4 linked regions of the Notamacropus eugenii genome follow. The protein of the gene in region 3 interacts with the protein of the main gene of each other region in a pairwise test. Links are inferred from orthologs where the notes say so. Each region holds a gene or a part of one and is shown on either strand. Other genes may lie near its edges. The genes, in order: IGFN1, RPL15, MEOX2 and CSF2.

Region 1 (7,157 bases), on a different chromosome or scaffold from region 3:
CTTTCAACCATGACACGTCAAAAAAGCCCCTTTTCCTAGATCCTCCCAATTTTGACTACTGAGGGGAAGAGAAGGAAATAAGACAGAGCCTTGTGAATGGTCCCAGCGAGAGATAACAAGTCTTGGCTTCTGCAGTGCTGGGGAGGCAAGTCTGTACCCAGAGGTGTGGAATGCTAACATCTGATCCAGTGCTCAGAGGAAGAAGGAGCGGTGGTTTGGACAGCTTTGTGTGTGGCCAAGGCAGAGCGAGACACTTCATCAAGCCATGGCCACAATAGCTAATCAGGGAGGGACCTCCTCCTAGAGCTTACATTTTTTGGCTTTGATGGAATCTGCCAGGAACAGGAAGAAACTAGCAAATGGAAAAGGATCTCGGACCATCAGGAGACCTGAGTTCTAGTCCTACTGTTAATTTGTCACAATCTATTTGAGGCTCAGTGATGCTGTTCCAAGAGGAAATATGGCCTAGTGGATAAATTATGTGCTGGGCTTGGAGTCGGGAAGACTTGGGTTATTAGTTGTATGACTTTGGGTAAGTCACTTAGTATCTGTAAGCCTCAGTTTCCTCATATGTAAAATGAGGTATAAAAATAACTATAATACCTACCCACAGAGTTGTTATGAAGTTCAAATGACATAATGTATGTAACATACCTTGCAAATCTTAAAATGCTTTGCAAATGACAGTTGTTATTGTCCATAGAGGATTCAAAGCTGGAAGGAGTATTAAAGATCCTTGAGGCCTACCATCTCCTTACAGATAAAGGAACAGAGGCCCGGAGAAATGAACAGATCTGCTCATGGAGTGACAGAGTAAGGATCTGAACCCAGAACTTCTGACTTCTAGTGTTTTTTCAACTACGCTAACCAGCTTTGACAGTTTGTGAGCTTATAAGTATCAAAAGGAATAATGCAAATGAAAATGCTTTGAAAAAAAGTCAAAGAATTGTCCTATTTTCTTCCCTTCACCCTCCCCCTATCTCAGAGAATACTCTGCTCCCCCAACTTTCCCAATCTCAGTCTAAATGTAGCACCACAGACTTAAATTTAATAACCGGCCATTTGCCAAACAGCAGCTAGGGGGTAAGGCAGACAGAGTGTTGGGCCTAAAATCAGGAAAACTCATCTTTCTGAGTTCAAATCTGGCCTCAGATACTTACTAGCTGTGTGACCCTGGGCAAGTCCCTTAACCCTGACTGCCTCAGTTTCCTCATCTATAAAAATGAGCTGGAGAAAGAAATGTGGCAAACCACTCTAATATCTCTGCCAAGAAAAGTCCAAATAGGGTCATGGAGAGTTGGACACAGCTGAAATGATTCAACAACAACGAAATCACCAAACCACTTCTTTTGGGAGACAGGGAACCCAGGCCCCATTTTTGATGATAGAGTGACTCAATAGAGCTTACTTCCTCAATCTCTCCAAGAAATAGCTGTTTCCCCAGAGATCTATGAAAAAACAGTTTCCAAAAGATCTACAATTAATCTTCGACCCTAGATGTGGCTGATGAGTGGCAGAGTTACAATCTAACTCAGAGGCCATCTAATGCAACCCATAGTTAAACAGCAATGTCCTCTAAGCATTCCTGGCAAGTAGTGGCCTCGGCTCCATCTGAAGCCCTAAAGGACAGGCACACTGATGAATTCCTGAGGAAGCCCCTGTGAGGAATGATGACTGAACTGAGTAGTGCCTTACCAGTCTTTCTGTGACACATTCTGGTTGTAAATGTGTCCACTGATGTTACGATACGGTGGGCAGATACATTTGCACCGGATGTCTTCGGAGCTCTGGAAGAGAACAGGAAACGAAGATCAGGTTGGGAGGCAGGGCACCAACTCCTAGCAAAAGCCCCTGCCTTGTGACTCCCCTATCAAGCCTTGTTAAGCACTTCCTGTGTCTCAGACACTGTGTTAACAGCTTTAGAATGATCTCATTCAAGCCACAACTACTCTGGCAGTTGGGTATTATTATCCTCATTTTAGAGTTGAGGAAAATGAGGCAGACAGAGGTAAATAACTTGTCCAGGGTTATACAGTTAGTAAAGGTCTGAGGCTAATTTGAACTCAGATTTTTCCTATTCTGCTCTATTCTCACCATCTACCTGCCTAACAAGCATTTATTAAGTGCTGACTATGTGCCAGGAACTGGGGAAATAAAGGGAAAAACCAAGGTCTTCTTAGCAAAGCTTTCTCTCTGACTCAGAATTAAGGCTGCACTTTTCTTTAATACTCATCAAATTTGATTTTGCATCTTCATCTTTCCTGGACCTAGACTCAGCTAGCAACAGCCTCCTGTCCTGAAAGAAAGCTGCAGGCTTGAGCACTGGAACAGAGCAAGACACTTAGAGCCTAATCTTGGCTCTGCCACTACATAGCTGTGTCCCTGAGAAAATCCCTTAACTTCTCCAGGTCTTAGTTTCCATATCTGTAAAATGAAGAAACTAGACAATCTCTAAAGTCCTTTCCTGCCTAAGATATGTGGTTCTAAGTGGGACAGCTAAGCGGTGCAGCAGATAGAGCAAGGGCCTTCAGTCAGAAAGACCTGAGTTCAAATCCAACCTCAGATATTTACTAGCTATGTGATCCTGGGCAAGTCACTTGACTCTGTTTGCCTCAGTTTCCTCATCTGTATAATGAGTTGGAGAAGGAAATGACAAATCACTCCAGTATCTCTGCCAAGAAAACCCTCAATAGGGTCACAAAAAGTCAGACACCACTGAACAGCAATAGGGGTTGCCTTTCTCTAGGGGTCTGGAGAAAGAATGCCTAGGTCTGTGAACTCTGGAGTGGAGTGGAGTGGAGGTATGATAATTTCACAATGAGGTAAACTGAGGCAAAGCCACAGAAAGGATGCTTGCCCCTTGACACATCTCTATCCTGGTCTTCATAACAACAACAGTAAAAAACAAGACTGACTTTTTCACAGCACTTTAAAGTTTGTAAGCACTTGACATTATCTCATCTGAGCATCTGAGGATTCTGAGGAACAAGTACTACAGGTCTCCACCTCCCAATTTTATGATAAAGAAAGCAAAAGTTAGAGTTAAGTAATCCATAGCAGTCAGAGACAGCATTCCAACCCAGGTCTTTCTGACTTCTTGTATGTCCTCTAATCTAATCACTCAACAAGCCATTTATTCAGTACCTCCTTTGTGCCAGGAATTGTGTTAGGTGATCACTGGGAATGATTAAAAGTACAATAAATTAAACAATGTCATTGAGTCTTTTTAGACTCTTCATGACCCCATTGAGGTCATTTTACTTCCAGATGAGGAAACTGAGGCAAACAGAGTTAGGTGCCTTGCCCAGGGTCACTCAGCTGCTGTCTGAGGCTGGATTTGAACTAGGAAAGATGAGTCTTCTTGACTCCAGGCAAGACATTTTATCCACAGTGCTACTTATCTGCCCCAAATGACACAATACCTATGCACAAGAATTTACTCTAGAATGGAAATGACAACCAGGATATATATAAGTATATGCAGAATACAAAGGAATAAACACAAAATTAGATACAAGGCAGGGACCAGAGAAAAAAAAAAACTTCTCACACCAGGGATTCTACTATCACTCTACCTCTGTTATAGCTCCCTGAGGGCAACGGCTGTGTCTCATTGAATTATTGCAGCTTCTCCAGCCCCCAGTACATTACCCTGTAAACAGTATGTCCTTGATAAGCATCTATTGAACCGACGACCAAGACAAAAATGTTCATTTATTAACCGAAACACAGGATCAGAGAATTAATATTCCATTTTAAGGTTTATAAAGCATTCTCCTAGCAACAATTCTTTGGGGGCAGGGGGAGAGCAATTTCTCTCATTTTGTAATCTGAGGAAACTGAGGCTATGAGAAGCAGAAGCCAGTGGGATTTAGGGCCGAAATTCAAGTCTTCTGACTCTAAGAGGACCGGACCACGAGACCTGGCGTAGATCTCCCGAATCCCCAAAGTACAGAGGGACTTACAGGTACTTTTAGGGAGGGCCAAGTCTGCGCTAGGTTCTGGCCGCCGCTACGTAAACCAGCAAAGCCAAACCTCCCCATCTGCCCAGACCATAGCGCTCACCTTGCCGGCCTGAGCTGGGGGGATGGCCAGACAGCAGGCCAGCGCCACCAGGGGAAAGAGCTTCATGCTTGTCAAGGCTCGCTGGGTCAGCATGACCAGTCACCTGGAAGAGAGACAAGGAGCTGGGGAAGAGGGAAGTGAAAAGCGGGAAGTGAAGTCGACATTCACGTTTTCCCCCAAGTCCCCAAAGCCCGAGTGACTGCACCCTGCTCGACTCGGCTCGGAGGCAGGACGCCTGGGTTCTTTTCTTAGATAAGTGACCCCTTTCTGGGTCTCAGGTCCCCCCGATCGTCAGAACGGGAGAGAATAATTGCTGGGGGAGGCCCCCGACTCCTATCTCTACGGTGCTTCGAGTTCCTCGGGCAGCGCGGATCCAGGCTGACAGCGCTCCGCCCGGACCCCCGGGCGCACCGCGGCGGCGGCCCCGGTGCCCCTACCCCCCGCTGTGCGCTTCCCGTCCGAGCGCCTGCATCCCTGTGCATCCTGTCCGCATCCCGGTCCCCACTCTCCGCCCCAAGCTGCTCCAGCCTCTGCTCCCCGGCGCAGGCCCGGAGCCCCGGCAACCCTCTCCAGCCCCGTCTGAGGCCAGCTCTAGCAGTCAGAGCCCCCCGCGCCCGGCAGAGACGGGCCGGAGCCGCCCGCACCCCACCCCAGGCCCCGGGGCCCCGAGCCCCCGAGCCCCCGCGCCCCTCCCCCAGCAGTCCTGCGGCGAACCTCCGAACCTCTCCACATCAGCACCGGGCCCAGCACGGCCCCGCCCCACTGCAGCTCCTATTGGCTCTTGGAGGTGCCCTTCTCCCCGACTCAGGCTGTCTCCACGGCAACAAAGACCCGCCTTCTTGGGGGGGGCGTTTGGAAGGTACTGCCAGGGATCGGAGGGCATTTCTTAACCCCAAATGGGCAAGAAAAGGGAGCGTCGCCGAACGAAGGGCAGAAAAACCGAAGTCCAGAACTGGAAAGGTCTATAGAACATCCACAGATTGAGAACTGGAAGGTGCCTGGCGTCACCTTGCCCACCTGAAACTCGAGTCCACCCTCCAGCCTCTCAAGGCACGCGGTCCTCCTGCGTAGAGAAAAGAGTGCAGGATCTCAGGTCTTTGGAGCTCTCTGCGCAGCCTTCGGCAAGTCACCGCCGCGGCAGGTTTGGGGAGAGGTTTGGATGAGAAGGTTTTCTGAGTTCTCCTCCAGCGTTCAGCAGACCTCGGACCCTCTGATCCAAACTGCGCGCTTCCACTGCCGGCGAGATCATCCAGTTTCTGTCAAAATGCTTTCCGATTTTTCCAGCCATTTTTGTCAGAGTCCTTACCCCCAGTAGGGGGTGTCCTTGCATTTTGCAAGAATTAGGCCACTGTGTTTAATTGTTTTTGTTTTTTTGCAGATTAAGTACAGAGAGAATGACTTATCCAGGGTCATTAGACAATAAGTATCAGGGGTGGGATTCCTAACCAGCTCCTGCTGATGTAAGATATAGGAGGCCTTCCACGTTGCCTCTAGAGTTTGAGGAGCTTTAAAACTAACTCTCTTGGCAGGCAGTGTGCCCTGACATCTCTCTGCCCTACTTCCCACCCTACACCCATCTCAGCCCAATTTAGAGGTGTATTAATGCTATTCAGAAGTACGGGGCTACCTGATGGACTTTTAAAAGGTGGCATGCATTCATTCTTTTAAAAAACTACTTATCAAGAGCCTATTGGGGCCTCAGGGTGTGCATCACCTGCTCCGTGACTCCCAATTAGTTTATGATTCAGTAAATTGTGAGCGGCTTGAGGGTAAGAACTGTTTTGAATATCTGTTGCAGTGCTGTTGGCTCCTTGTTTTTGTTTTCAGTGCAAACCCATAATTCATCATTGTAGGGAACTTCTCCAAGGCAGCTCACTGCACTGAGGTCCTACTTATCACTGCCCATGGTTAGAGTCTCTGAGAGGTAAGGGGATGTGCCCCTTGTCACATAGTTAGTATTCAACAATGGTGGAATGTGAAACTGACTTCAAGGACATTTTTCTGTTGGCTATGCTGGATACCTGGCACACAGGAGGTACCTGATAAATGTCTGTTGATTCAATTGAATTCCAAACCTGAAGGCCCAGGCTAGGTTCTACAGGTAGCAGTAGGAAGTACCCTTGTGACCAGCATTACTGCTTTTGAGGTCTCTGTGCCGAGAGAATCAAGTGGCCAGCTAGAGCACTAGGCTCAAACCTCTCCACCCACATCCTCTGCAAATTTTCAAGGCACAGAGATTGGAGCACTAAGTAAAGTGAGCTGGAGAAAGAATGATAAACCACTCCTGTATCTTTGCCAAGAAAACCCCAAATGTGGTCACAGAGTTGGATAAGACTGAAATGACTGAACAACAACAACATATAAATTATTATTAGTCTCCTTTTATAATGTATTTACCTCTAGAGAATATATTTTGTATATCATTCCCTGAAGAATCTTAGAATGTTAGAGCTAAAAGTGGCTATAGATATCTAGTCCAATCCTTTTATTTTATAGGTGGGTTGATACCTTATCACTTTCCTGTGAATCACTTTATTATTTTTGTGAGTATGAATTACTTGAAAAGAGGAAGAAGAAAAAGGAGAAGAAGAAGAGGAAGAGGAGGAGAAGAAGATGAAGAGGAAGAAGAAGGAGAAGAAGAGGAAAAAGAGAAGAGGAAGATGAAGAAGAAAAAAGGAAGAGAAGAAGAAGAGGAGGAGAAGAAGAAGTTCTTCCTATACCTGTCCAAGGGAGTAGCTACTTGGCACAGTGGATAGGGTCTTCCTGACTCTAAACCTGGTACTCTCTCCACTGTGCCACCTAGTTACTCCTACGCATCTAAACCAAAGTATTAAAATACTTGGTAATAAGGTAGCTATTCCTCATATATTCAAAGTTGTCAAGGGAAATATTAAAGATTTTATCTTTATCATATGCCAAATGTAATATATGCTATATATAATGTCCACTGCACATATATGACACCTCATATATACTATAATAATAAGAGTTCTTAATGCGAGTTCCAAGAACTTGTTTGTAAAAGAACTTTGATAGCTCTGTTTCACTAAAATCAATATTAAAGCTTTGTAATCCCATGCATTTGAGTTAGG
Region 2 (7,748 bases), about 22 Mb from region 3:
AAAATACCAAAGGAGGAGAGTAAGCACCATCCAATGTGCTTATTAGATATGCCATATCTCATTTGATCCTCACAGCAGCTCTGGGAAGTAGCTATTATGATTTCCATTTGAGAGCTGAGGAAACTGAGGCAGGGGAAAATTAAATGACTTACCCAGGGTCACAGAGATAGGAAATGTCTGAAGTCAGATTTGAACTCTGATTTTCCTGACTCCAGGCCCAGAGTTCTATATCCTCTATCCCCTACCTGTTTCTAGGTTCCCAGGCTAGAAAACTGGCTTCAAATTACCAAATGCCTCTGGGATTGTTTAGAACATGTCAATGATGATTTGGTTTGAACTTGGTTCCTAACACTTAGGGGTATGACCCTGGGTCACCTTAATCTTATTTTCTTGCCATCAGCCCTACTCCCTCCCCATTTCAGGTGGGGGAAATTTAATCAACACTACCATTGCTAGGGAAAAGAGTGTGTTGACTCTACCTGCTTCTCCTTTTTCTGGCCCAGATTCCCTCTAAACTTATTTTCAATCTAAGTTCCTTGAGGGCAGGACTGACCTGTTGTGTCATCTCCAAGGCTTAGAACAAAATTCGGTTCAAAATAATTAACAGATGCATAAAGGACTTAGGGTCTGCTGAGTGCAGTTCATAAACTCACAAAACCAGATCCTGTAGGAAAAATTAGTGAAGCTACTGAATGTGTATGGTGAGGGTGGGTTTTACAGTAATTGAAGAAAAAAAATTAATGGTTTTCCACCTTTACATATAACAAAATGAATATAGACCTACAACAAATGCCTGCTGTTAATACATCCAACTCTACCCAATTGAAAACAAAAAAAATTTTTTGAGTATAATCTGTTTTTAACTCTTAGTAATTAAACTACAATCAATAAATACATACTAAATGCCTACAGAACAACAGTCTGCCTCTGCCCTCAAGTTTACCATCTAAGGGGATAAGGGTATGGTTAGAATTAAGCTCTTTTGGTCATTACAGCTTTTCAAAGTACCACCAAAATAATGCCTAAGGTTTCTGCAGTCCAATTAGTTCTGTTTTTGCAAAGTTCTGTTCAAGTATCAAATTAAGAGCCATTATATTTACTGAGTTCCCACTCCTGAGCTTATGTGTGTGTGTGTTCGTCCTTTGTTGCCAACGAAGACCATGCCATCAGAGAAACAATGACATGACTTGCACTTGATTTTGTTTGGAGTGAGGGAGGGCTGTGCAGGTCACCAGCCTCACTTCTCCACAGCCATCTGAATCCAGTGACCAGATATTCATCAGGATAACTGGAGATGACCCAGAAGGAGGCAATTTGGGTTAAGTGACTTGCCCAAGGTCACACAGCTAGTGAGTGTCAAGTGTCTGAGGTGAGATTTGAACTCAGGTCCTCCTGACTCCTGCACTGGTTCTCTATCCACTGCACCACCTGGCTGCCCCCCTGATCTTATGAATAAATTATAAATGTGCCTTTAACTGTTTAGGTTCCACTCACCCCATCATGCATTAACAATCCTTCCAATTAGTCAGATTGATGTTAAAGTTTAACATGAATAACAATTTATCTCTTCTCAACAGTCAATAAACACTATTAAGCATCTCCTATGTACTTTCCATGTGCTAAGCACTAGGGATACAAAGAAAGGCAAAAAACAAACAAAAAAACAAAACTCCACAAAAACCCAACCCCCTAAAACTGTTGTTGGTCTCAAGCTCAGTCCAATGAGAGGGACAAACTATGCACAAGATATATATAAGATAAATTGAAAATCAACAGAAGGAAAACACTAGGTACACACCTTTTCTCAGGAAAATCTAAGGGTTTCTCAACCTTTTCTGTGACATGTTTAACACTTTTAGCAGTCTGGAGAAGTCTATGGATGACTTCTCAGAATGTTTTATCGTCTACATTTCTAATGGAAGGAAATGCTAATTTTAAGCAAAGGTCACTGAAAATAAAGATTTAATTTTCTCCCTCATCCAATTCACTACCCCTAATTAAGCACCTTTGACCCAACCAGCCACACCCATATATTATCCTTCAGTACCCAAATTCTATGTCATTTCTTTCGAAAGATATTTTAATGGCAATTTTAGTTCTGAGCTTGCCCAATAAAAAAGCAAGTGACAACCTCTGAGACTCAGAGTAAGTTCAGGGTCGCACAGCTCATGCCAGGGCTTAGACAGACCCAAGCCTAGGTGCTCTGCCTCACTTGAACAGGATTATTCCATCACACCACACTGTTTCTCATCTCTAAAAGCACCATTTTAAAAAGAGAAAACAAATCTTACTTCTGCCACAGACTGAAGGCTCCTGGCAAACTTCAGCTGATTGACACCATGATGCACAGGTTTACCATAGGTCGCACCCTTGGGAACTGGGCGCTTTCGCCCACCACGGCGGACACGAATTCGGTAGATGACGTAACCTAAAACGAACACAAGTTTTTTCTGTCTACAAGCTTTAGCTATCAAATACAACTGTCCGTAACCCCCCCCCCCAAATAGAGACGTGGATGCTTCAAACTCACGAGTCAATTATATTACACGTCAGACCCCAAACTATCCCCAAAGCTCTCCTCTGAGCGCAGAATCCCTGAGCTTGTACAGGGCTTTCCTGCGGGCTGCGCAGGCAGACAACACACAATCATGCCCAGGAAGTCAAGTGCCCGAAGCTCCACGTGCGGCCTGCGGGCCGAGGCTGCATTAGGACACAGCAGGGGTTCTCCTGCTTCTAGTGGGAAGTGCCCCTAACCCAGGACCAGGAAGGAAAATAAGCCTAACGAAATACGGAGCCCGCCCCGCCCCGCGCCCCTCCTGCGCTCGCCCCGCACCTTGCTTGGCCTTGTAGCCCAGCCTGCGGGCCTTGTCGGGTCGCGTGGGCCGCGGCGCGCGGTGCAGCGCAGACAGCTGGCGGTACTGCCAGCAGCGCACGCGCAGTAGGAACCGCATGACATCCGACTGCTTCTTCCTCCACAGCTCCTGGATGTACTTGTAGGCCCCCATCCTGGCTCACGCCTAGCCTGCAAGAGAGCGCGCCCGCCTCATAACCGCGTCCCCGGAAGACTCGCCGGCCGCAGGGCCCAGTCTGCCGGGCCCGGGCCGGCGGCCCTGGCTGAGGGCTGGGAGTCGGCGGCCAGCCGCGTCACCTCCCTGACTCTGGTCCAGTCTGCCCTCCGCTTCGAACCCGGGGCGTCCTCTCCCCGCTCCCGCTGTCCCGGGCCCCGACCAGAGCCCGCATCGCGCGGCACACGGGCCAAGGCCCCCGGGCGCATGGGGCCCGGGCTCGGATGGCCCAAGCAAAGGGCAGATTACGGGCGGATGGTCCCAACGACACACACAATCCCTACCTGCCTGATGGCTGCCGCCGACCGGAAAGGAAGAGTCTGCCTTCCCACAATGCTTTATGGCCTCTTCCTCACCACAGAACCCCTTTCCGGCTCAGGCACTGCGCGGGCGCACGGCCTTATGGGAATCGTAGTCCTTCCGGCGGGTATCCTGGCGGCCTCGGAGGGGGCGGGACGGAGGCTCGGCCTACACGAAGGGGAGGAGCCGGGAATGGCAGTGCCTGCCGCGCACGCTTCTCTTCCAGGGGGGCGTCCTGCACCGCCCATGCTCTGCCGTTCCCTGGGTGGTTGCAGGATGCTCGGCGCCGCTCCGGACGGCCAGCCAGGAGCCTGACCTAAGGATCGCTCTGGGGCGGGGGAGGGGCAGGCGAACACGGACTGCGCTGGCGAGAGGGTGCGAGGGCGCGTGCGCAGCTTCCCCGGCTCGGCTCTTCTCTCGGCAGGTAACGCAGGGAGCTGAGCGTGCTTCCCTCGGCCTGTAGAAGGGGTGGGAAGACGACGTTTCTCCCTTGTTGGGGCAGGGTGAGCCCCGTTTCTTCCGCCCCACCCCCAAGCTCCTCTCGGGAGGATCGGGTAACGGGGTACAGGTGGGGGGAGGGGGTGAATTTGGTGCGAAGACCTCTGACAGTCGTGACCCTGCCGGGCCACCGTCTCTCGCTCCCTCCCGTCCCCCTCTGCCCCCCACCGCCGGAAGGGCTCTCCCAGCATCTCCCTCCCCGCGGGCCAGGGGCTGGGGGCGGGGCGCTCCTCACCCCTCCGGTGGACCGGGGGATCTGCTCGTGGGGCTGCCCCCTTCCCCTGCCTAGGAGCGCCCACGGCGCGGGCCTGGCTTCGAGTCCCGCCTCTGCCTCCCGACTCCCCCTGATCTTGGGAGAGTTCAGTTCTTTAGGTCACTGGCTAAAGGAGCGCGGGACCCGGAGTCAGCCGGACCCTCCAGAAGCGCGACCGGGGCATGTCCCTTTGGCCTTTCTGCCTCAGTTTCCTCATCTGTACAATGGGGACCATAAGAGGGCCTCCCCCGCCGGGGGCTGTGAGCATCACGTGAAATAAGGACGGCCGGGGTCGGACGCACGGTCGCCGAAGGATGGACGGCGCTCGGGGTTTCAGCCACAGTCACGCGGGGCCCCGGGGGCTCGGAGCCAGCCCCTTGTGTGGGAGGCGCTGGGGTTCAGGGCAGGGGGACTGCCCGGGGCGGCGCCAGGCTCGCTTCCCACGATCCGTGCACGCACACGCCAGGTATAAAACCTCCCCGCATCCCTCAGGAGCTGGGCTTTTGGGTTGTCAGTCTTGTCTGGCCCCGTTAAACAACCCACGGGACGTGTTTGTGTTTAAAGAAGGGCCGGAACGAGGCGGGCGGGAGAGCGTGGCGGCGGGCCGGAGCCGTCCCGCAGCGTGGGCCTCTGCCCCAGACCTCCCCACCCTCCGAGCCGCAGGACTGCGTGGCGTGGGAGGGCAGAGCCGGGGGGCAGACCGGGAGGCGGAGGGCCGCGGACTCCGAGGCCTCAGCCAGCTCTGGAGCCCGTGGTTCCGTGAAGATGAGGCCCATTGGAGGCTTTTTAGAATTTAAAGGTTTTAAAGTTTCGTGTTAGAGGGCTATGTTAAATGTGGAGTCCTTAAGAATGATGCCAGCCTAGTGAGCGTGGCTTCCGCAGTTAGAGTACCGGAGATGAGTGCTTGGCGTGATCGCCTTGTGCGATCCAGAGCGCAGGTCAGTTAGCGTCAGCAGGAGCTCCCGCGTCAGTTTCACCTGATAGATTGTGGACACTGTATCCAACCAAACATGAATGTTTCTGGATACAAAGAATAGAACAAGAAGATTGTGTACGAACTAGGGTCTCTTAGAGTTTGTTCTTTCTAAAGTCTGGTGGACCCAACACAGCCAGGCTTGTCCCTATTCCTTTCTGAGTGTGCTTCTGCCTTTGTTTTTAAAATGTCTCCTTGACTCTTGGTTTTTGCATGACCAGCATTCTCTCTTTATTTCCCCAACCACTCTTCCCCTGGATGCATTACTTTGATGGAGGCCCGTGACTTCCTTCCTCCCCATGGAAAAGTGCAGGGGTGCAGAACCTGCAGCTTCCAGGCCACATGTGGCTTCCTTGGGTTCCAGACCTGGCTCTGCCACTTAGGGTAGAGGATGAGATTTAAAGTTGAGGAAACTGAGGCCCAGCATGGGGATGGCTCACCCAGAGTCAGGAAGTAATTTAAGGAGCAAGAGCCAGAAATCTCAGGATCTTTACACTGCCCAGCAAGTTCCTTCTTCATTGTGCCGCAGCTCTCTCCCTTACTGGGGGCTCCGAATCAGCCATTCAATCCTTGGGAAACTCATCGTATTTTCTAAAAGATGCTGATAACTGTAGTACTTATGCTGCCTTTTCCCCAGTGGTGTTACTGGCATCAAGTTAGGTAATATATGTAAAGCTTTTGCAAACCTTAAAACCTATAAATGCTAAGTATAGCTATTGTAGGTTTTTTTGAGGGGAATGGGGAGGAGGAGAGAATGGGATCGTGGATTCAAACAGAATCAGATCCCTGTAGGCTGTATGTGTGTTCGTTCTTCATTGCCAAAAAAGACTATGCTATCAGAAAAATGACGACATGACTTGCACTTGACTTTGTTTTGAGTAAGGGAGGGCTGTGCAGATCACTAGCCTCACTTCTCCTCCAGAGCCATCTGAATCCAGTGACCAGATATTCATTATCAGGATGACTGGAGATGACCCAGGATGAGGCAATTGGGGTTAAGTGACTTGCCCAAGGTCACACAGCTAGTGAGTGTCAAGTGTCTGAGGTGAGATTTGAACTCAGGTCCTCTTCACTCCTGCACTGGTGCTCTATCCGCTGCACCACCTAGCTGCCGCCTGTGGGCTGTATATTGACTTAGAAAATCACAAGTTAACATTATATTGTATTTTGATTTATTTTGTTAAACATTTCCCAGTGACTTTTAATCCAGTGCTTCTGAATTTGGGAATTCCCAATGAGGAAATTGCTTTTACGACTTGTTAAAATTTTATTTTTCATTTAATAAGTATTTATTTTCTCTCCTTCCCACCCCTAATTAAAAAGAAAAAAAAGAATCATTGCTATATCTATATCTCTGCAGAGTGAGGCACCGTTCCATAGCATCCAAAAATGTATGTGTTTGCTTTCTTTGCTTTTTTTGCTTACTTTTCTCATTTACATTTCTTATGGCATAATATTCCAAGATATTCATATATCTTGATTTTATTACCTAAAGTTTAAAAGGGAAACAGTTAACTGGGGGAAAAAAATCTATGCAGCTAATTTCTCTAAAGATCTCATTTCTGTGATCTATAAGGAATTGATGGAAATGTTTAAGAGTTAGGCCATTTCCCCCAGTGGTCAAATAATATGAACAGGCTGTTCTCCAAGGAATAAATGCACGCTATCAACAGCTGTAGGAAAAAATACTACAAATCAAAGTGTTCTGAGAAGTTAAATTAAAGCAACTCTGAAGTTATACCTTGGCTTATAGCTGTTGTATTGGCAAAGACACAAACAAGGAAAATGACATGTTAGGGAAGATGGAGCAAAGCAAGCACACTGATGCTGTTATTAGACCTTTTTTGTCATTATGCCCAAGAGTCACCTAACCCAAAACCATCCAGAAAAGAGAAAAGGACCCACAAGTACAAAGATATTTCTGTCATTCCTTTTGTAGTGGTGGAGAACTGTGCCAGGGGTGCCCTTTTCTTTTCCCCCAGGGGCAGGAAGGGGCTTCAGTTGGGGTGAAACTCTCAAGGCAGATCTATGTCCATTCCACAGTCGAAGTCTTGGAGACTTTAAGTGATGGCACTGCTGGTAGACCTTGAAGCCAGCTCTGACTTCTAGGCTAAAGTGCCTTATTTATTGTCATGAGCGATCCTTTTGAGCATCTTTTGAGCAACGTAATCCCTCTCAAATACCCAAATTTTAAATAATCAAAATGCATTTGATTGGAAATTGGCTTTTTATAGGCTTTGTAGCTTTCACGCTTTGTAAGCTGCAATTTCTTGTTTCTGCCAACTTTTCCTGTTCTTGCTGTTATACCCATCCATCTGCTGTGGTCTGGAGATCTAAATAACCAAACTAGTTGGAATTGTGTATGCAGCAGGAATCAATAAATCCTGGATACCTCTGCTACAAAGTAAAAGTATATGGGGTTTTTATGATAGTGATTTCAGCTGCTCATTGGCATTTTCTGCTGTTTCCAGATTCAGCTCCCGTTCTAGAGTCTAGACAATTAAGGTTGCCTAATTGGGTGTCTTTCAAACAAGTGAGGTGTTACTCCAAAAAAAGTTTAAACTTGTGGTCTCTATGTCATATTTAATATTTTGAAAGCCTACCTTTTACTGAGGGAATCAAGGAGGAATTTCTTTTAATAGTGAGTTAACTACACTTG
Region 3 (7,277 bases):
ATCATTACACTTTCTTAGTCTCTCTCTAACTCAATTTCAGTCTTTCTTTTCTTTTTAATTACACAGAACTTCAATCTGGTGGGTTGTGATGGTGCTGCCTATGTAGGGTGCGAGGCTGCAACACTTGGCTACTTAAAGAAACAATCTTCCCCACGTTCAAGATCGCTGGGATTCTTTTTCTAACAAGGTCAGCGGTTTGAAATCGTCATGTAAACAAAGCATCTCGTGACGTACCAGATGATGGTCTCCGAGCTTTGTTAAATAAATAAATAAAGTTGTTGGCCTGTGATCTCCTTTTGTGATTTTGTCAGGGAAGTGCAGAAACAAAGGGAACTGAGTGCATTAAAAAGCTTCGATTGCTGCAGCAATCCTTACCACAGCTTTCTTTTCCCAAGCTTACGAAGCACTTTCCTTTTTGGCAGGAAATGCCAGCGTTACCGCTATCCTACAGACGAGGAAACTGAGGCTCAGAGATTTTTATTTTTTCTTTTCAATTAATATTTACAGAAAACTTACAATTTCCATGCCCATATTTATGCCAGTCTCCGTAGCGTGACTTTGCAGAAACAGTCACAACATGGGAGCCAAAAAATAAATAAATAAATCAAGCATCCTATCATTTCAAAATTAATAGAAGTGATCGGGAACTTCACACAGCTCTCAGACACTGAAAGGGATACCTTAGCCATTCGAGTGGAATTTTATCATTCTGCTTTGCTTTCTGTAACTGATGGAGAGAGGGAAAATAGAAAGTACGGCTGTGCGTCTCTTCTTTCTCCCTTACTCTTGATTGTATTTACATACATGCATACATACATGCATACTATATAAGACCCACAAAGAAAGATTTCTCCGAATGGGGAAATTACGAGATAACCAAAAATCAAAAGATTTTACTTCCAAACATGATCAATTTTTAAAAGTGACATTAAAAAAATCATGCTCCTATTTATGTGTATATATGCGCGCATATGCACATCTGTATTTATATTTAGTATTTTCTCCAGGAAACGATGAAATTCATTTCAAGTTCAGTTTCCTGTAACTTGTGGAAAAGGACCTGCGTGCATTTCTCCTGTAAGAGCCTTCTAGCCTTCCTAGAAAGCTAACTTACGCGTGGAGAGGTGGTCCTGAATATCTCTCGAGTTCCCCACACCTTCACCTTAAGCTTTGGACTGGGAGAGTGTCTCGCTCCTTTGATTCTCTCTCTCTCTCTCTCTCTCTCTCTCTCTCTCTCTCTCTCTCTCTCTCTCTCTCTCTCTCTCTCTCTCTCTCTGTCTGTCTCTCTCTCTCTCTGTCTCTCTGTGTCTCTGTCTCTCTCTCTCTCTCTCTCTCTCTCTCTCTCTCTCTCTCTCTCTCTCTCTCTCTCTCTCTCTCTCTCTCTCTCTCTCTCTCTCCCTCCCTCCCTCCCTCCCTTTCCAGCCTCTTCGCCAGCTGCTTCTAACGACTGATTGACAGGGGCAGGTTGGTTGAGAATTTCAGGACCCTATCATAGGCCATCCATTAACACCTGATCCAGGAGACCGACAGAAGAGAAGTCAGCTCAGTACTAGGACAGTCGAGAGGAGAAATTAGTCAAGCAGGCGTCTCTTGGTGCTAATTGACTAGGTTTACCTGAAATACAGTTGTTCTAGGAGGACCTAACTCTCCAGCATGAGAACTCTCTGGTTTGAACCCTGGGGCATACGAGCTAGTCTCTTTCTTCTCAGCGCTCCCAGAGCTCAACACAGCTCTCAACCGGTGCGGATCCGATTCAGTCTCCCTGGGATTGAAGAGTACCAAGTGGGAAGTCGCGATTTCCCAATGTTCTTGGTGCCGCGCGGGGATTGGGGTGCCAAGCTTTCTCTTGACCACCTTCTTAATTCCTCCCCACCCCCCTGCCTTTGCCCACAGGCTAGCTAGGGCTAACCAAGCTCAGAGTCCTGGTGAGCTTGTTTTCCTTTGTACTTTAAGGTTTAATATCAGAGCCCATATTGAAACCATAAACACACGGAGAAATCAGACAAATATTCCACCCCGATGGTAACCGAACCGCCCCCTCCCTTTCCTTCATACGCTGGGCCCAGCCCATAGTCCCCTCTCCCCTCAGAAGGGAGTAGTAGGTACCCCTCCACCCTTGCCATGCTTTTGGGAGAGTAGAGGGCCTCATCACGAGGAAGGGTCTCCCTCAGATCAGTCAGGGCCCGTCTGGCTTACCGTTGGTCCCTGGCCGTCTACAGCTCCCTGTTCTCACCAACACTGCCCTAAAGAGCAGGGCAGGCAGGCAGGCAGCTGGTGGACAAAAGTTTTCGGTTTTTTTTTTTTAAACCAAAGTCTGCAAAACTAATTTCCCTCAGAATAGGGCTCAATTTCCGTTTAAGAAAACAGCTCTCACAAATCGTAGAATTCCTGGTCCCCCCCCCCCCCCCACCCCAGCCAAGGATAATAATTTTATCTTTCACATGGTTCTGAGGTTGTGTGGCCATCGGCAGCCCACAAATTGTCCCAGGGATTAAAAGGTAAAAGGGGCGTAAACAGGAGTGAGGGAGTACAGGGATGGAACAAGTCGGGCTTCAGTGAAGTTTAGGGAACCCCCTGAGTGGATGGTAGAGAGTATTCCTAACAAAAGCCGCATGTCCGCTCTATCGTAGTGTCTCTTCTTTCCTCTTCAAAGATTCTGGGTCCATCACTATTCGGGAGGGACACTTGAGACAACGAGAATACTGAGGCCCTCACGTTCTTTCCTGAGACTGCCGTCAGGCTCAGATCTTGGGAAGGAGCCCAGATAGGGAAGAGTATTTACAGCTCGGATTAGGGTCTGACATACTTCTACAGACTCTTCCCACCCAGTCTGTGACCTTTATGAATCCATTGCCCTGTCTCAGTCCTTAAAGGGGAGGTTAGCACCCAGAAGTGGTGGTGGTAGATCAGAGAAGTGTCTAGGGTGTGTTCATGGGTTATTTGCCTCCCTCCCCCCACCCCACCCCACGCACACACACTAGAAGAAAATTCCCATCCAACTTCCCGCAAAGGTAAGTTTCTAAGGCTGAATGGACCAGACGACCTCTGAGTTTCTTGCAACTTGGAAAATGAAAAATAAAAATTGGTCAGGTAGAAAACATCTGTATCCTCAGCTCCCGAGAAGGAGCGGCCAACCGCCCCCCCCCCTCCCCAATCCCTCCTTGGGGAGCCGAGGGAGTGGAGTCTCGGCGTTCTCCATATACCAAACCCGAGTTTGAAGGTTTGTGAGTTTTCTTCAGAGTAGGGTGGGATAAAAAGGGAGAAACCTCTCCTGAGGCATTGAGCTGAGTCTGGGGATACTATAAACACATCTCTGCACTGAGGACTAGTTGATTTCTGATTCTTCTAGAGAATTCAGGCAAACGGATCAAAAAAAGACCTTCGCACAAAGGGCTGTTTGTCTCAGCCCGGTGTGGGACTGCAGGTGAGGTTGCTGGTGGTTTGGGATCAGGCTGACTCCGCCTAAGGTTCACTTCCTCCCTCTCCCACCCGGTTCCTCAGCCTCTTTTCCCCTTGAGATAGGAGTCTATTTCCGCCAGAAGTCCAGTCAACCCCGCAACTTCAGACAGGGCTGCTACTCTGTGACCCATCAACTATACGCCCCTCTGACCCCAGAAAAAGGAGAGTATGGCACGGTTCCCGCGACCCCTCCGGGGAGCAGCATCTGCCCCAGCTTCTGGCTCCGCCTGCAGAACTAGGGCACTGCCAGGTTGTCGGCTCCTACCCTAGCGCAGCTACACAGCTTCTCCCAGCGGCGCCTATTTGCAGATGTGCATGCAGATGTGCATGAATAGCAACAATGTTTCCAACAAAGTAACAAATAAGCAGAAACAAAATTTCCCCGGAAAGAACAAAGTGGAACTTTGCACCAGTTTTTCGTGGGCTCGTACGCTCAGGATCCGAGAGCGGGTGGGCGTGAGAATGGGTGTGCGCCTGTGTGTGGGTGTGTAAGTGTGGGTGTATGTGTGTGCGAATATATGTGAGTGTTTGCATGTGTATATGAATGTATGTATAGGGGCGCTCCCCTGGGGCCGTCTATCAAAACTACAGTCCCCCCCCTTTCCCTGGGGGCCCAGCTAGGTGTGCCACCCAGGAGCTACCCGGGCTGGGGGAGGTGGACAGAGGAGGCTCGAGGAACCCAGGCTGGGCGGCGGCGGCGGAGCCGGCGGGGAGCGGAGCGGCAGTTTGGGAGGGAGTCCGCATGTGGTCAGCGCGGGGTTCCTAAGCCAGCCCCCAGCTCACATTACACTCTATTTATAACCTCCCGGAGCCGTTTCCCCCTCGCAGGCAGGCAGCATTCTCTGGGACCACCTTCTCTTGGCTTCCACCTTTCTCCTCCTCTTCCTCCTCCTCCTCGTCCCCCTCCTCCTTCTCGTCCTCCTCCCCCTCCTCCCCTTGACATCCGAGCGTCCGAAAGCAGCAGCGCAGCGGGAGGATTCCTCCTCCTTCCCTCTCTTTCTCTTGCTTCTTCCCGGGGCTGGCGCAGCCGGCGGCCGGCCGGTCCGACAGACGCACCGCCGGACTCAGCCCTCCAGAGTTCTCTTGTCCCGTCGCAGCCGGGCAGGCCGGGGCCAAGCGGGACAGCCCGAGGCCGGACCGGAGGCTGCGGCTCTGAGCACATTGCTGGTTTACCCAGGACAGCGGAGGTGGAGGCGTCCGTCCGCAAGCTCCCGCCGCCGGGCAGCAGCCGCGCCTCGCATGCTATGGAGCACCCGCTCTTCGGCTGCCTGCGCAGTCCGCACGGCACAGCGCAGGGCCTGCACCCTTTCTCGCAGTCATCCCTGGCCCTCCACGGCCGCTCGGACCACATGTCCTACCCAGAGCTCTCGCCCTCCGCCTCGTCGTGCATAATCACTGGCTACGCCAACGAGGAGGGCATGTTCGCCAGCCAGCACCACCCGCGCGGCCACCACCACCACCACCATCACCACCACCATCACCCCCAGGCACCCCCGCCGCCTCCACCACCGCCACCTCCGCCTCAGCATCAGGCTTTGCAGGGAAGCTGGCACCTCCCGCCCCTGGCTTCGCCGCCCGCCGCCGCCCGCCACAGCCTGTGCCTACAACCAGACGCCGGCGGAGGCCCGGAGCTGGGCGGCAGTGCCCAGGGTTTGTGCGCCTCGTCCGGCAGCTTGGGGGCCAGCACGCCCACGGGAGCGGCGTGCGCGCCAGGGGACTACGGGCGCCAGGCGCTGTCACCCGGGGACGCGGAGAAGAGGGCGGGTAAGAGGAAGAGTGACAGTTCAGGTAAGGAGCCGTCGGGGGGCTCAGGGCGATTCCTCGCTGGGAGTGGGCTAGGCCAGCTGCCTAGTGGACCGGCACCGCCAGCGTGGGCAACTGGGCTCATTTCCAGAGGGAGAGGCTCAGCGCGCGCGCGCATACACACACACACAAATCACACAGAGACTAGCACACAGGTACCAACAGACAGAAGAGTACCCTGACGGACGCATTCAGAGACATACAAGTGACTAGCTATAGAGACTGATGCGCAGACCCATACACGCTCAGGTGTCTGGGCACTGACAGGCAGGTTCTCTGACACACACAGGAGGACAGGACATACGCAGAGACAGTCACAGATGCATAGACGAACAGTCACATACACACAAGAACGTGTGACGTATTTATTGAGTGTTGAAAGCGCGGTAGACTTGCAGCCAATGAGTATAATGGAACTTCTCTCAACTTCGCGAGGCCATGGTCAGAACTCCTCGAGCCTTTCCCGCTATCTAGGATTATGTGGAGACGCTCGCTGCAGTACCCTTGGCTACGTAGACTGAGGCAGGGACTCTGCTGGCATCTGGGGCTTAGGGGAAACTCGAGAGCACGTGACAGCGCCTACTCTCAGTTGCTCAGTTAGCATTTTCTCTAGGCTAAAAAGGGAGATTTGTGGAACAGAGTCTCTGTTTCGCTTTTGCTGGTGCCGGGCCCTTAGTGGGGCTGCCTCGGACTCACTCGGCAGTCACCAGCCAGCCCTTCCTCCCCCTTTTCCTATACTTAACTGGATTTCCAAATTCTTGTGCAATCTTTGGAACCTTTGCAGTAGAACCTGGCAAAGTTCATGAGAAAAAAAACAAACATATATCCTTTATTCTGAATAAAGAATATTTTAAATAATCCAAGATTCCTAAAGTGAAAAAGTGGGGATCCCTGAGAATTGGGGAGTAAGGGGCAATTTCCAAAGTCTGAAGTTTGCACTTGAGTCTATATGTAAAGGACGCCCTTTGTGGATTTCCAAAAAGTAGTTGCCCAGTTAACTAATCGTGTATTGGGGGAAAAATGTTTCTTAATATTGGTCGCTATTAAGGGGGTGCTTTCTGGAGCACGAAATTCTCGTATCCGCAACAGGGAAAGTTGTTTCCCAAGTGGTGAGAACCCAGAAGACAAACAGAGGGGGTCTTGTCCAAAAGCTGAGAGTGTTGCCACATGCCGATTTACCCAGGGTTCAGGAAAACAAAACAAAACAAAACAAAACAAAAAACAAAAAACAAATCCAAGCCTGAGGCACTCAAGGTTGCTCCGATGGGGAAGCCGTAGCAAAGAGATTTGGAAATCTGATCTGTCAGACAGGAAAAGGGCAAGGCGAAGTATCTCTAACTCTTTGTAAAGATTCACCGCTGAATTCACAGCACCAGAGCCAGCGAGAAAACTAGTAAGCGATCTTTGGGTAAGGCATTCTTGGAGTATTTCCGGTAGCAAGCCTAGGCACCTTATTTTCTTCTTGAATCTAAGGACTGCCATGATGTTTTTGTTTTTTTTTAAACAATCATTTGGTAAATGTATCCCACCCCCCTCATTTTATGGGTTATCAGCTTTAAAAAAATTACCAAAACTATAGTAAAGTCAAAGTGACTTGAGATCTTGGGCTTAAAGTGTTTTATGTGGGATCCGAATGTTCTTCAGCATTAGGCTTGAAGGAGACTTTTTCAAGGAGGCTGTGAGGCAGATGTAAATCATCCTGTCACAACTTCACAATCTAGCCCCTTCTTTTGAGTGTTAGGAGTGAACATAGCCTTCCCACATCAGGGCTTCTTTATCCAAGAAGAAAAAAAATCCATTTTCTCATACATTATTGGTGGACTGGACAAATCAGGTGTAATGTTCTTAAAATGGTGACAAATAATAATATTAATCAAACCTACTGTTATACCTATTTCCTTGGACATGGGGAGAAGGCAGGCACCTTCAAAGTCCAGACATTATAGAATTTGTAAAAGTCTCTTATGAACACAATATTTTATATCGCTGTAAGTGAAAGACATTTTAGGTCACAT
Region 4 (7,535 bases), on a different chromosome or scaffold from region 3:
TAAGAGATGGAATTTCCTTTTCAAAAAATCCACTGAATCAATCAACAAAAATGAATAGCCAGTCAAGGTATAAACTATTTTTCTACTGACTAATAACAAATGCTATGTTAAATGCATTTAAAGTGAAATGGAATATATTGCTTTGTTTTGAACAATATTTATATATAAACTTTTATAAGGAAAAATATCTCTTCAGATGTCACTTTTCTCCTCTTTACCACTGAAACACCAGTCGTACTCTCACAGAACCTCTACTAAACAAATGAGCAGTGTTGCCCACCAGTTCATTTGAAAATCTACCAGATAGAAGATTAGCAAAATAAGAGGAAAGTAAATTTATATCAGAAAATAGCCTTAATTTTGCAAAGAGAGGAAATAAAAGGTTTCAAGACGGCTTGTTATGTGTATAACCAGTGTTCATGTTTTTTTTAAAATAGCCTGATCTTTATGTCTCAAGAGCCCAAACATTCATAACATCTTGATCATGTTTTTACATAGCTGATGAGGTTATCATTATTGTGTAACAGAGGGGAATGCCCTGTACAGAACGGAAATGATGAGTTGCTCATATGTTTGACCATCCATTGGGAATCAGTTTGCACTTAAATATTGAAACCTTGCAGTGGTTTGGAAACAATTTGGTGACAGGTGAAGAAACTTTAAGAACATGTTGAACTTACCCAGAAGTAATCAGAGTTTCATGTAATCACTGCACAGACATCAAAATTGTTGTGCTTCTGATCATGACAGTTTTGATTGCTTCCAGAAATAAACATATAATTCTTCAAATGTGCACATGCTTATTGTCATAGAGGAAAACTATATTTGTGACATAATCGTATAATTATTTACTGATTAATATGCCATTAAAATTTTATATACACATATACATATACATGCAGAAAGATGGACAGACAGACAGACAGATAGAGAGAGAGAGAGAGACAGACAGACAGACAGACAGACAGACAGACAGACAGACAGATAGATAGATAGATAGATAGATAGATAGATAGACAGACAGACAATCAGAAAAACAAAATACATCAATATGTCTAGAACTTGCAATTTCACTGGTGTGGGAACTCCTTTTGCTAAAACAGATGGTGGTTCATCTAGTATTGTAGTCTTTGGGAATTGCCTGAGGCTAATAAAAAATAAACAGCATAAACAAAAATAGCAAAATCAGATAAAAGTATAGTCAAAAAAGAGATCAGAAGGGAACACAGCACGTTACAGGCTCATACAAACCCCTTCATGTTATAGGTGAAAAAAATGATTCCTAAAGTGGTTCAGTGACTTGATCAAAGTTACACAAGTAACAAATGGAAGAGTTAAAATGTGAACCCAGATCATATGATTCCAAATCCAGAATCTCTGCACTGTTCCATGTTGATTCAGACAACGTTATGGGATTTCTAAAAGTTTGCCTATCATTTTCCTTTTATCAAAATGTAAATAGTTCAGAGTTTATGGCTTTATGGATTATTTTATTCCTCACTTTTTTATTTATTTAATTTTTCAATTTTTGTTTCTGGTTATTAATTTCATAACAAAATTATTATTAAAAAGACTTGTACAAGTTGCCACACTTCAGCAGGAATGTGACCTAATTCTAACTGTTCTCTTTGTAGGATGTGAAGACAATGGATGACTTACAGTTTCACTGGGAAAATTCTGGGCTTTTCACATTACTTAGATTTTCCACTAGATGCACACATTCTGCACGTCATGCGATGGATGCTCTTCCGGTCTGCAGAGGACTCTAATCAACCTCAGCAAATTCCTGCTTTCCGAAAATCCCTTGGAGACTGAATTTCCTACCAAAAAAATGAGGATTCAATGTATATAGACAGTCAGCATCATGTTTTCAGTGACAATTCTCTCAGAAAGATAGATAACAACCCTAGGAGTTCTAATAGTTGGAAAGAAAAGTAAGAGCCAGTTGGAAGAAACTTTGCAAGAGCCCATCCTAAAACAAATTAGGTTTTTTTAATTTTTTACTTTAAGGAGACCATTCAGACCCTTTCACTTCTGACCTATCCTCTAAGATGCTGGGCAAAAGGAGTCATCTCAAACTTTCATTTATATTTCACTAGTAAACGTTCTTTGTTGACTCAGCGATAACAGCAGAGCCATTGGGCGAGTAGTCGACCACTATCTTGATAGCATCAGTCTCATTTTCTGTGGTTATTGCAATCTAAGAATGTTCTCATGTGTCACTGGGACACAGTGAGCAAGTGTCATCTTTCCAATAAGAAAGACCTGCTCATCGCTAACCTCCTCCTGATAGTGGTAGTAGTAGTAGTAGTAGTAGTAGTAGTAGCAGTAGTAGCAGTAGTTGTGTGTGTGTGTGTGTGTGTGTGTGTGTGTGTGTGTGTGTGTGTGTGTGTGTGTGTGTGTGTGTGTGAAGGTGACTTCCAGTCGCCTTCTCTATCTTAAAATCTCTATCCAGATTATGGGTGCTGAAGCCCCTTCAGAAAGACAGGAAATCTGGCTTCCTGGAACTGGTTGCTAGAAGGCCACACCTCACCATTCCCACTTGCCCACCACACAATGAATGCTTTTAGAAATACTTTTCCTGGAAGCTTTGGCCGTGATGAGTTGAAGTTCATGTACTACTCCCCTGCCTTTAGATTCTCAGGCATTTCTGAGGCCACATATCCCATTTCCCCTGCCTCCAGGCAGCTCTACACTGAAAACATTTTCTCCAGGAAAGAGAATGAGATAGGAGAGCAGGAACCCCATGGGAAACAACACAGATGAGTAACCTGTGGGAATTAGTTCACTTTAATCCCTTTGGTGTGAGCCTTACTAGGAATCCAGTCCTTTGTTCTTCCTCTTTTCTCAGTTTTCTGTTTAGAGAGGGCCCCTTTGCTCTCTGTTGGTTCTTTAGAAGGTCCAAATCAAGACTGCAGCCTTAATTAGAAAGATGTTACTATTCATTTAAAGGAGGAACCAACCCATGGGCAGCAAGTCCAAAATTAAACCAAGTCTTTGACCAGCCAGGTCAAAACATACACACACCTACTTCAGAAGCCCTGGGGCTCACTCTTTTGGTCAAGTGGCTGGAAGTAGAGGTCTGTGGAAGCAGGAACTGTTTCTGTAAAGGTATCTGGCATGCTCTGAGTGCTCACCAAGTGTTTAGTTTTCATAATGTCATTTGAGAAATTCTGTGCACGTTTATGTCTGCTTTAAAAGAAACCAGGCTAGTCTGTGCTGCTGATAGCAGTGAATATGGTAGGAGTGAGTAAATATGATCCCAGATTTCCTCATAATCTATCAACAGTCTGGGGTTTAGGCTGGCAAGAGCACAAGGATGAGTATACAGTAGGGATTCAGTAAATTCTCACTCCAAGACTCAGGCAGATCAGTACAATAACTAACCAGAACTCTCAAGCTCCCATGCTTTGTCACAACTTACCTTCTTGCAGGCACTCAGGGGCTTTTGAAAACACAGGCACCTGTAAAGGATGGGATTGGAAGAATTATTACCTCATTCCCCAAACAAAGAAATAGGAGATTGTTTCATAGTCTGTTTCCTTTGCACTGCTCAGGAGGTCACAGTCGAGAAAAGCAATCAGACTCTGGTTCTGTAGACTCCCAGGATGGCCAGAGTTGGAGAGCTGGGGCCAAGAAATGCAGTCCTATTAGCTGTTACTTGGAAAGAATCTCAAATATACATAAGGACTGAATTGTTATTGCTCTGTAATCTTAGTAGTGTCTGATTCCTTGTGACCCTATTTGGGGTTTCCTTGGAGAAGATGCTGGAGTGGTTGGTCATTTCCTTCTCCAGCTCATTTTACAGATGAGGAAGCTGGGGCAAACAGGGTTAAGTGACTTGCCCAGGTTCACACAGTATCTGAGAGCAGATTTGAACCCAGGAAGAAGAGTTTTCCTGACTCCAGAACCAGCACTTTATTGACACTGCACCACCTGGTTGATAAAACTGTAATGCTAACATACGCACACATGTGTGCACACACATGTGTTTACATGTGGTTTTCCTGGCATAATGAAAGTTCTTTGAAGGCAGAGACAGGTTAATGTCTTTGTATCCCCAGTATGTAGTACAGGATAGGTGCTTAATAAATGTTTGTTGAATGATTAATTCTCTGATACTATCATTAATCTCAAGAATTCCAGGGCAGGGAATAGAAAGATTTCTAGATATAGAACTAAATTGGGGTTCAAATATCAACTCTTCTAATTATGTGTGCTTAGGGAAATCCCTTCCCTTCTTTAAATCTCAGTTTTCTCATCTGTAAAATGGAAAAAAAAAAAAAAAGATCTTTTAAGGACTTTTCCAGTTCTAGATACCAAACTGATAGTTCATTCAGACTTTGGAAATCACCCTGAGCCAAGCAGGCAGGTGTAGTAGCCAAGCCTCTGTAGCCTGGGGCCACTTCTCCCTAGGGCCTGGCAATCTCTCTATCAGACTGGTTTTGTCAGGGGCTTCTAGTTATTGAAAGCGATCTCTCAATAAAATTCCCAAATGTAATACTGGTGTGTAAATGGGTGTTTGAGGATCTCATGGGTAACAGTGATGTGATAAGAAGCCGGAGATTCCATCCCTCAGGTAGTTTCCCCTGCCTCCTTCGGTTTGTTTGTGGTCAACATTAATCATTTCCTCTAACTGCATATAAGAGCTTCTCAGCCCCTGATCAGCCCAGTTCAGAGCTGAAGCTTGAAACGAAAAACTACAATGCAAAAGTTCTTCCACCTTCTGCTCTTCTCTGCTTTGATCCCTTCTGCCAGCTTGGCGCCCACCACCCCAAAGTCAAGGGAACCTGACCTGGAGACTCTCATTGCTCAAACTCTGGAATTATCACGTAATATCACTACAGAGCCAGGAAAGGTAAGTGACTCACAGGTGACTTGGCTTCAACCTTTGCTCTGCAGAAGTTAATCTGCCCGTTTCTTCAAATGTGAGCTAATCATCTGCTTTCTCTTCTTCAGGATAGAGAGGTGAAGATTGTTTCAGAGGAATTCAACAGGCAGGTAAGATGCACTCCGCTACACCTATCTATACATCTGCCTTTCTAAAGGAAATTATTTAAAGGATTCTTGTCCCAGCCCTCTGCAGTCAGATCAGTTACCATTTAAGATAAGATGTAGCAGGCAGCTAGTGTGTAGCTGGCTTGTAACTTACATGACTCACCAGCATTAGTATTTCTGTTTATTTGAAGGGTTTTGAACACTATACCTTCCTTCTTCCCCTGCTCCCTCCTTTGCTACTGCCCCAAGGGGGATTATTAGAGCCAAAAGTTAAGTGCCAAAACCAGAAACTATTTTATGTGCCAGCGACCCTAGGTCTCTACTACAGCTTGATTACTCTCAGTCATAGTTTCTCAGATATCACAGTCAAAGAGGACAAATGACAGCAGGGGAAGGAGGAACCAGACAGTGGCTCCCACAGTCTCCTGAAAGAGTCCGTGTTTCTCAAGACCAACAATCTCTGAGCTCCTCCTTCAGTCTCCTAGCATAGGTCCTTGTTAACACAGGGTCCCCTCTCCTAGAAAAATGAGCATTGGTTTTGGAACCAGAAATCCAATTGGCTTTGTTATTGGGCAAGTCTGCTTGGTGTCTCACTTTTCTTAGTCATAAAATAGTTTCTTTTGCAAATAATAATAGTCCCCAGTGGGATAGTACTTAAAATTTCATAGAGCATTTGCCAAATAATCCTGTGAGATGGAAAGTGTAGATATTATTATCCCTGTTTATAGGTGAGGAAACTGAGGTTCACAGAGGATAAGTGACTTGCTCAGGATCATATAGCTATGATACATCAGAGCTGAGGGTAGAATAGGGATATTGTAAGGATTAGATGAGATCATTGCTGAATAGAACTTTGTGTACTATTTAATGCCTCATTAAGCTATCATTCTTATGCTGAGGTTAGAACTTGGGGGACAGAACTCCTAATTTTCCATCTCAGAGTCTTTTCCCCCAGGTCCCAGAGATATCGAACTATAGTTAGCTGGCAGCTCACAACAGAAAACTGAGTTATAAAAGGCAGTGGGATGTAGCAGCTAAAGCATTGAATTAGAGTCAGAAAAACCTGGATTTGAATCCTTCCTCAGATAATTACTAGCTATGTGACCTTGGGTTAGTCATTTAATATCTCTTGGCACCAGTTTCCTCATCTATAAAATGAGAAATGACCTCTAAGGTCTTATTCTACCCTAAATCTATGAATGCTCCTCTAACAATGAGTAGCCAGGAAAATCACATTAATTCCAGGTGATTGTTCTATGCTTTTTCCATGCTTGGGTTATGCTGCGGCATCATATCCTTGAGCATCAAGGGCGGCAGCTCACATCAGTTCTGTGGGCACACATATTTGACTAGACCGCTGACTGTGGGAGAAAAAAGCATGGTTGGCATAATGACTGGATAGGTGTGATATCCAGAACATGGGAGCAGCTAGGCAATGATCTCTGTTGGGTCTCATGAACAACATGCACTTACCATCTCCTTCCCAGAATCTCCTAGAATAATCTGGGATGTGGGCAAACCTGGTGAGAACATGGGAACTTTCTAAATGCTTTGGAGAATTCAGTACTACTATTGAAAACAAGTTAATGTGCAGAAAGTGTCAGAGAAGAACAAGTCATTGTAGAGTGTGCTGTGGTGGTCTCAGACTTTGACAATTTATATGTCTCACTTTGTAATACAAAGAACACAGGATGTGAAGTAAGATTTTAGATCAAATCAGGATCTGCTACTTTAATCTCATGTGACCCTAGGCAAGTTAATTAATTGGTTTCCATTTTCTTATCTGTAAAATGAAGGGGTGTGAATAGTTGTGAAAGGTCTCCTCCAACTCTAAGTCCTATGATCTTAGAAGCTCTACTGCTACAGGAATCCCTCATGCTATAATTGGAAAGAACTCAGCCCCAACCTCTGTGGATCTGTTGTAGTGACAAAACATAACAATTTTAGCTTGGAGTTGGGCTACGATCCCATTGACTCAGACACACTTACTCAACAAACTGACTTTTCTTTCAGGAGCCCAAATGCATACAGACACATATAAAGACTTTTTCTGATGGTTTACATGCAAGTGATCAAGCAATCAAGAAAAACCTAGAGGAGATTGCTACCCGCTTCAATGCATCTTCATGTCCCTCACTCGATGTAAGTTTTCTCTGTTACAGAATGTTCTCTGTTTTAATGATGTGATGTGGAAATGGTCAGGTTTGCTTTTCATTGCTACCAAATCCTTGTATAGACCAGGAAAGATCACATTTGAGAGCAGGTTAAAGCAACAAGGAGATATGTATCTATGTAGAAACACACATTTTAAGTATATACATGCATTGTATAAATAATTTACACAATATATACGTTTCTATAATTATACTTTTGCATATTTCAAGTATAAACACCCATATATGTGTATGTATGTTTTAAGAACAAATTATTTCCATGGTGTATGTATATATTAAAATATGTAACAGCAGAGTATATTGAAAGTTAGACTTAAAATCAGGAAAATCTAGATTCAGAACCTACCTCTGACACTAGCTGTG

Evidence for each region.
Region 1: the proteins of MEOX2 (region 3) and IGFN1 interact in binary tests that used the Homo sapiens proteins (3 or more experiments, as listed by UniProt). The two-hybrid records come from large-scale screens. The link is inferred for Notamacropus eugenii from reciprocal best matches to the Homo sapiens genes MEOX2 and IGFN1.
Region 2: the proteins of MEOX2 (region 3) and RPL15 interact in binary tests that used the Homo sapiens proteins (3 or more experiments, as listed by UniProt). The two-hybrid records come from large-scale screens. The link is inferred for Notamacropus eugenii from reciprocal best matches to the Homo sapiens genes MEOX2 and RPL15.
Region 4: the proteins of MEOX2 (region 3) and CSF2 interact in binary tests that used the Homo sapiens proteins (3 or more experiments, as listed by UniProt). The two-hybrid records come from large-scale screens. The link is inferred for Notamacropus eugenii from reciprocal best matches to the Homo sapiens genes MEOX2 and CSF2.

Annotation. Positions count from the first base shown.
Region 1 is NC_092873.1:439,459,244-439,466,400, reverse strand, and holds the start of IGFN1 (immunoglobulin-like and fibronectin type III domain-containing protein 1), read left to right. Parts: upstream 1-4,156; coding exon 4,157-4,260; intron 4,261-4,343; coding exon 4,344-4,924; exon of another isoform or gene 4,925-5,112; intron 5,113-7,157. Other genes in the region: proton-transporting V-type ATPase complex assembly regulator TMEM9, read right to left, coding at 1,696-1,787, 4,066-4,158.
Region 2 is NC_092874.1:30,595,589-30,603,336, forward strand, and holds the start of RPL15 (large ribosomal subunit protein eL15), read right to left. Parts: upstream 3,006-7,748; coding exon 2,834-3,005; intron 2,429-2,833; coding exon 2,292-2,428; intron 1-2,291.
Region 3 is NC_092874.1:8,791,193-8,798,469, reverse strand, and holds the start of MEOX2 (homeobox protein MOX-2), read left to right. Parts: upstream 1-4,274; 5' UTR 4,275-4,703; coding exon 4,704-5,247; intron 5,248-7,277. UniProt on the Homo sapiens protein: Mesodermal transcription factor that plays a key role in somitogenesis and somitogenesis and limb muscle differentiation. Required during limb development for normal appendicular muscle formation and for the normal regulation of myogenic genes.
Region 4 is NC_092872.1:344,048,827-344,056,361, forward strand, and holds the start of CSF2 (granulocyte-macrophage colony-stimulating factor), read left to right. Parts: upstream 1-4,524; 5' UTR 4,525-4,705; coding exon 4,706-4,858; intron 4,859-4,959; coding exon 4,960-5,001; intron 5,002-7,011; coding exon 7,012-7,140; intron 7,141-7,535. UniProt on the Homo sapiens protein: Cytokine that stimulates the growth and differentiation of hematopoietic precursor cells from various lineages, including granulocytes, macrophages, eosinophils and erythrocytes.